Styela clava: one gene and its partner. The protein of the gene in region 1 binds, or shares a complex with, the protein of each later gene. Links are inferred from orthologs where the notes say so. Each region holds a gene or a part of one and is shown on either strand. Other genes may lie near its edges.

Region 1 (3,758 bases):
TGTGGTGTTATAAGATCCTTGTTTCGAAGAAGCATCAAACTTTTGCAGAAATTCTGAAATATTTAAACAAAATTAATTTTATCGAATAGCAAGCGTATTTAATTTTACATTTTGATAATCAACATTAAAAATATACTGACCAGTCTCATTTCATGGTTTATCGAGAGTGCATGTTTCTGAAGAATTTCTTGTAATTGGTTGGGAAAATCTTTTACCAACTCTCGATAGCAATGAGCTACCTAAATATAAAAAATAACAATTTAACATTAGTATATAAAAACCTCAACATGCCAGCACATCAGATAATGATAGAATTGAGACTGGATTACTACTGCTTTACCAAAAAAGCAACTCCAGGATGGTGATGACTGAGGATGTATATTTGAAAATTAGAATTACAAGTCATAATTCTTTCTAAGATAAATTAAATCTGTTGGGTGCAAGTCCCTAGTCCCCAAGTTTCAAATCAAGTCAGGTCACACGGGTCATCTGATCTCAAGTCAAGTCAAAGTTTCAGCAAATTTTAAACTTTTGAGTAAAAGTCACTGCACATCGATTCTGAAAATTTCATAAATAACAGTAAAATTGATAGATATGATTCACACCGACACCAGAAACTTCCATTTTGAGTTAAAATAATGGTCATTTCGAAATCAAAATTTGGATTTATTCTTGTATTGATAATATTTAATTTGACATCATCACAGCCTATGTCGAATTATCGCTACAACAAGCTAGTGAATACAAGATTTATCGATATGCAATATACACATAAATGATAAACAAGAACATGCAAAAACAACCTGCTGACCTGGCCGATAAATGTTATGAGTTCCGATAGATCTTTCGATTCTTCATTTGGTTGAAGAAGAAACAATTTCATATTGGATTGATATCTCCGATACTGTTGCTCGAACTGTTAACATAAATATAATACAAATATTTGACTAGATATGTATATCCTGATGGTATATCACAACAAATTTAATCAGATCAGCTTAAAATTATCCAGCATTGTAACACCACAGTACCCAAATCTGCCCATTAATACATTATTTTGCGATAAATACAGAAGGTATTAATGTCATGATGTGCGGAATAGACATTGTAGATACAGTACAACTTCATTTTGATCTTTCGTCTACATCACAGAACATGAATAAACAAAAATAAAATACACAGACAATGACGACAGGAAGATCGGGAGAATGGGAAAAACTAGAGAAATGTTTATAGCAAACGCTGTAACATTTGTGCCAATTCAACCACACAAGTGAAAAAACACATGACATGGATCAACACAATCATACTGAAAAGAATAAATTCATAAACAGCATACCTTAAAACGATGAAATAAAATTCACGGGCGAAGCTTAGGCCGTCTTGTAGATACGATAATTTATTTATTAAAGTACTCTCACCTCATCTTGATAAGAAACCGGATCTCTTTTGATTAAATTTTGAAGCTGCGGTAAATTATATGGAAGTTGATTTGTTCTCCCCATCTCTGCACCAATATTTCAAATCAAAATATCCAAAGGAGCTGCCGATGGGCCAGTAATTCAGCTGGGGAAGTGAGATCACACAGAATCAGATCAGCTGTGTACCACGTGCCACGGTCACTTGAGTAAAGTGTGACATCATAATAGTGAAAACAAATTTTGTTAATTTTAAGCTCTGCAGTAATTTCTCTGAAAGTTGTAAATCAAACGTTGCGAAGCGCGGGTTGCGATGGTTTTGGTCAAGTTTCAGACAATAAAACTTTAGAAAGTGTGTAAAAGAAGAAAACTAAACATGTTCAAGAAATCCGGAAAGGTCAGCTTTTCTTTTTTACGAATTTTACTTTAATTTGCCAATCAAGGATAAAGCCTTAGTTGCGATTAATTCTAGTTTTCAATCTGAGAATATTGTCGCTTTCTACCGGGTTCAAGATGAGTCTTCCTATATACTGATCATTTTCTTGACCAAAATTTTTTTATTACCTGAAGCACATATTTCCATACAGCACTTAATTATAATATATGTCCATTTATCCAAGTTCTCGAATAACTCATCTAAAATCAGAAAATGTTTTTGGTGTTCTAAATGTTTCTGAATTTGGTTACTCATTTATGCTCCGAACTTGTGTGACTCAGAACTCAGAAGTGTTTTTCTAACAGTTATAACTATTATTTTTAATCAGTTATATTAGCAATAGGTGTTGTCATCTTAAAAGCATAAACTGTACAAAACGCTCAGATTAGACGGTTTTACTAAGTTTTGATTCAAAAAAATGTAATACACGAAAACCTAATTCTTTATAAAATTTTCACTTTGCAGTTTCGTGGTAGGAATAGAAGAAAGAAAAAAGACAGCGGTGATGAAATTGAAAAAAAAAGTAGTGATGAAGAAGACCAGGAAACTGTTGTGAGGAAAGAGAAGAAGAGAAAGATGAATCCAATGGTTCAATCGGTGAGTAGTTAGATAGATCGGTAATATTTTGTCATTGCCCCGCCGTTCATTTTCTGCTTTGTTTTATTCGATTCTGTCTGTGTTGGGTTAGGATAGGACATCGCCCTGCCACCTTTTCCTGTCTTACCTATAACTGCCCAGAAATTTGGTGTTGTAAATATATTCAGATATTGTTCTTGTATCACAGTATGTCATAGGATTCATCTCTGTACAAGAAATTATCGTCATGTTTTTATGAAGCTATTCTATCACAGATGAAGCACAATCGATACGCCAGGTGGAGTCGGTGGAGTCTGTATAATTGAATGAAACAAAATGATCATTCATTCATCATCACTTCCATATAATTTACAATGTTGGAAGACCCGAGTCCCTGACACAATCACCATTTATATAAGCCACGGAAAGCCGTCTGAATGAAATTGACTCGGAGTTATCAACTAAATGCCAGCGAGACCCGACTCAGTAATTGACTTTGGACTCTGATTTTTTTTAATTTCCCGTAATTCTTTTATGTAAGGTTCTACAATTTAGCAAGTGAAACCTTTAATATCATAAAATGTGTTTTTATCTACAGAGTGCGAAGTTCACAAAAGAAAAAGTAGATTACAGTAGCAGTAGTAGCGGTGAAGGTTCTGATGACGATAAAAATAAAATCAGTGTTTCCTACAAATCATCGAAGACTGCTGTAAGTTGTTTTAAATATGATTTGTGTATTTATTTCATGTCAGCCATTGTCAAAGAACCTACTTAGAATGTCAAGTAGTCGCTACTAGGCTTGTCCATAGTAATAAATTTACAACAACTAACTCGTTTTCTTACCAGTTTACTATATACCTGGCTGAAAATTGAAAATGACCCCTATATACCCCGGTATAAATATGTAAATCCTATCCTATATTTGAATAAAATTCAATTCTTGCAGACTTTTTTAAGTAGTACTTTCCTACCTTTTCTGCACTATAATTAGTTGATTCAATTGGGCAGGACTTCCATTATAATTATCCTGGTAAGAGGAAAGACGATTTAATCATATGTCTAAATATCCTCTCACACATAGTCGTCTCCCACAGGATTCATTCAAATCTGCAGTGTAATCAGAGGTGCGATGACGAGTACGTACTCATTTCTTAGCACTATGCACCGCTCCCGTATCAGGATATTTAATCAAGTACACTCTTTTGCTAGAATGACAATTCCTTTGTAAGAAGCTTATGATTCAGTCATTTTTTTTTTTAAATTTCACTTAGAAACCATCAGGACCTGATGATATGGGAGCAACAAGGACTTATGAACTAGACACAGAA
Region 2 (3,758 bases), on another chromosome or scaffold:
GAATGTATTAAAACATGTACCATACCATTTCCTTGAAAAGCTTTCAATTATTTTTAGGAGTGTCTGCATCACTTGGTGCAATGATGGGTTGGAGATTCTACGGGTCAAGAAAGTTTATGCCTGCCGGACTTGTTGCATTATTGAGGTGAGATATTATTAGAATGGTTAGGTTTAGCTAGGTTACAAGCCCTCATTTGAACAAAAAAAAGTTTTTACGTTGAACAATGAATTGTCAGCCAGGACAAATTTATTCGAGTGTGCACTATTTGTTTATAACACTCATTCTGTAATAATCCTCATCTGTTCATTCTCAAATTTCTTCTTTTTTACTATTTTAGTGCTGGAATCCTTGTGCGGAGTATTTGTAACCTCACAACTGGTAACCAAGGAAAAGTGGAATAATCACCAACATTGTTCTCCATTTTACTTTTTTTGCTGCTATAAACCAGCTTTCTCAATATAACGAACCAGTGAGAGAAATGAGAACTATTTAGATTATGAAATATATAAGAATATGATGGGACTCTGAAGTGTGCTTCTGCTCTGTTGCACCCTAGTGACTGAAACTAATGATGGAATATCTTTTCAATTTGTTTTCTATGATTTTTTGTTTGTTATTTTTTAAAATTATGATTGCCTTACAGCATTTTTGTCAATCATGTCATGAATGAATTTTTATGTTCTATTTTGACAACAATAGTACAATACATTCCTGTTGAAATTTTGTTTGTCATGTTCCTTCCTATTCATGAACCCTGTCACAATTGAAAATGTACTTTTAGTTGCTTTACTATTTGCTATTATATGGTGTTCACTCTAACCCTGACACGGGCCCAATCTGGACCGCCTGATGAGCTCGAGGAATTTGTTGAGATTGCAATTAAATTTAGTGTTGGCACAAGGCTTATTGTTTTCCACTTTTGCTTATGTAACACTTTTACGTCACACTTTTATGGCCCGCTAGTCTAGGTGGTCAAAATTTTGGCCCCTGGTCCAAAAACCTTGCCCACTCTGACCAATGCTGTGGACAACTAGAATATCAGAGCTAATGTAGATAGGAAACCATTCCCTGACATTCGCTTGATTCCAATTCATATACACTAGAAATGGATACTAGTTAGATATGTTTCTAACCTGGACAACATTGTTTTAGCACAGTTTACTTGAGTAAAAATATTGTAATATTTTCATGAAATGTTCACAACTCATAAAAGGTTACAACAAAGGACTCGACCGAAAAAAGATTTGAACAGATTTGACTATCTGCAGGTGATATCCTCATATACAATTGTGTTTGTTGGTAGTCGTTTGAAATTAGGATAGGATTTATATTATTGTGACTGGGGGATTGTATTCTATATTTGTTCGAAAGGAGTTTAGTAACCTATATTCCAGAATGTCTGATAATAGTTAAATATATGTGGAAGCTAAAATTCCTTGGACATATGATAATGGGATTAATTATTTTTCAGGCTCTCGTAACTGAATTTCAGCAAACAAAAAGTGAGTCCGACAAAGAACAAGTTCTAGCGAATCTTGCTAATTTTGCCTATGATCCAATAAATTATGAATATTTGAGGAAATTGCAGGTATTTTAAACAACTGTGTGGAATGAAAATCCCCTTGTTGAGGAGTATATAGCATGCTTTAGACCAGTGGTTCTCAAACTTTTTAAGCCATGCCCCCTTTTTGGAATTTTTCAAGTCTCACGCCCCAGCCTGAAAAATAATAATTGACTACAAATAATTAAGCTACAAATAACTGATAGTAAGGAGAAAGTATGTTTTTTCAAACAACACATTGAAAATACGTGGATGGAACGTAAAATAAGGAAATATAAATATGCAAAATAGGTGAGCAAGATCAAATCTCACAAATATTTTTATTTTAAATTAGCTTCACAGCCCCCTCAAATAATTGTCTACGCCCCCTTGTGGGGCGCGCCCCACCATTTGAGAACCACTGCTTTAGACTTTTCCATTTATTCTTCTCCTATTCAATATATTTTGGCTTAATTGTCGCAGCAAGAACTACGAGTTTAGATCGCCAATTATCAGTCCATATGACCTGGAAATCTGGAATGTTTTATTTTCATCAAAGGGCAGGCCTCTTTCATGAATTTATCGCATGTAAATCTCAAATCAGTTTGAAATTTACTTCCCTCTGCCAGTTTAGATGGAATTATTGATATGATGAAATTCAAATGCCATGTTCTATTATCCTAATCCAAGTGTAAAAATCTGAAAGCGCTCATTGATCTTCCAGGTAGTCGATCTTTTCCTCGATTGTTTGACAGATGATGAAGACATTAATTCAAAAATTTCAGAGTTTGGAATTGCAGGACTTTGTAATATAACGGCAGATCCTAAGTTCAGGGATTATGTTCTGGATGGGGATGATAGTGTACAACTTATCATGAGATGTCTTTATAGTGTTAATACCGAAACTGTTCTTTCTGGAATGACAACATTGATGCAGCTTATTCTACCACAATCAAGGTAGGTAAGTTATTGATCCATAATTGGACTCAGATTGGCCAAGATGCTCAGTGGTATTGGGCATCATGATAGGAATACGCTTGCCACTGCACCTCTGATTACACTACATGGTTCACTGAATCTGCATCACTTGGAGGATAATTATGTGCAAGAAGATGGACTTATCGCTGCCATAGGGTGGTTCAAGTAATGCTAGTTGGTTACTGCTACCTCCGCAATCAAGTCCATGCATTTGAAAACAGAATAACTGGCTAACCAGAGCTCGAAATGGACTGGTAACCGGATGAGAGTCCCGCGTTTGCAATAAGATCAATCTTGTCGAATTGTGTTTCAATTACAGGAACTTGATTATAACTCCTGCATTGGTCAAAAATTTGAAAGTTTTCAAAGAATCGGAGGATAATCGAATCTCAAATCTTGCCACTGTATTTTTGGAGGATTACTGTGTGAGTGAAAATAAAGGAAGAAAGAGGTCATTGAATACCTAAAGCAAAATTCGAAGGGTTCACCTGAAGAAGGTTCAGTTGTTAAATGCTGTTGGACATTGTCATGCATTGATCTCAAATGTATAGCAAATCCAGTAAAATGTGATGGTTGGCTTGAGTATACAAATGCTTGTTTGAAGAAAACTGTTTGGATAAGGATCCCCTGATGAAAGTACTTCAGTATTTCTCCGCAGTAATACTATCGGGGATCTAAATAGGAGCGACTGGTATAAAGACTGCCCTCAATTCATCCGAAATGGATGAAAACTTTGATTGTTAGTTTTTAGCACGTTGTAATGTTCGTTTGCACTCTTTTTCACCGATAGTTGTGCTTCTAAGGCAGGGCTACTCAACTGGCGGTCCGAATCCGGCCCTCCCGGGTATTCGTTTCGAACCGCGCCTTATTCTTTATTTTGGATCATTAGCCCCACTTTTTGAGTTTCCTTTCCTAAAATAACTTTTATGGATTTAAATATATATGAAAAGAACTATAACGCCATAATAAACAATCCTGATTAGCTAATAATCATTAGTCGGCCGAGGAAGTGCGTGTTTGAGGATGCCAAAATATGGAAATCTGGAAAGACCGGACCCAAATTTTTTTGAAGTTTTGTATGCGGATCTTCAGTAAAAATAGTTGAGTAGCCCTGCTCTAAGGTACCATATGCAGAGTGTGAAAGGGATTTTGGCCACATGTAGCTGACTCTTGTGACATTTGATTCCGAATGACTGAATGCATACTTCACTGTAAAATGAAATTCATATTAAAAAACAC

The links.
Region 2: E3 ubiquitin-protein ligase RNF113A-like (region 1) and armadillo repeat-containing protein 7-like share a complex: the UniProt entries of both Homo sapiens proteins name them as parts of the minor spliceosome. The link is inferred for Styela clava from reciprocal best matches to the Homo sapiens genes RNF113A and ARMC7.

The regions. Positions count from the first base shown.
Region 1 is NC_135251.1:22,359,491-22,363,248, reverse strand, and holds the start of E3 ubiquitin-protein ligase RNF113A-like, read left to right. Parts: upstream 1-1,649; 5' UTR 1,650-1,794; coding exon 1,795-1,815; intron 1,816-2,319; coding exon 2,320-2,451; intron 2,452-3,028; coding exon 3,029-3,139; intron 3,140-3,701; coding exon 3,702-3,758. Other genes in the region: protein SDA1 homolog, read right to left, coding at 1-53, 141-239, 812-916, 1,422-1,505. UniProt on the Homo sapiens protein: Required for pre-mRNA splicing as component of the spliceosome. As a component of the minor spliceosome, involved in the splicing of U12-type introns in pre-mRNAs. E3 ubiquitin-protein ligase that catalyzes the transfer of ubiquitin onto target proteins.
Region 2 is NC_135259.1:3,197,669-3,201,426, reverse strand, and holds the start of armadillo repeat-containing protein 7-like, read left to right. Parts: upstream 1-1,133; 5' UTR 1,134-1,194; coding exon 1,195-1,269; intron 1,270-1,472; coding exon 1,473-1,589; intron 1,590-2,265; coding exon 2,266-2,498; intron 2,499-2,838; coding exon 2,839-2,986; 3' UTR 2,987-3,758. Other genes in the region: transmembrane protein 14C-like, read left to right, coding at 58-145, 339-402. UniProt on the Homo sapiens protein: As a component of the minor spliceosome, involved in the splicing of U12-type introns in pre-mRNAs.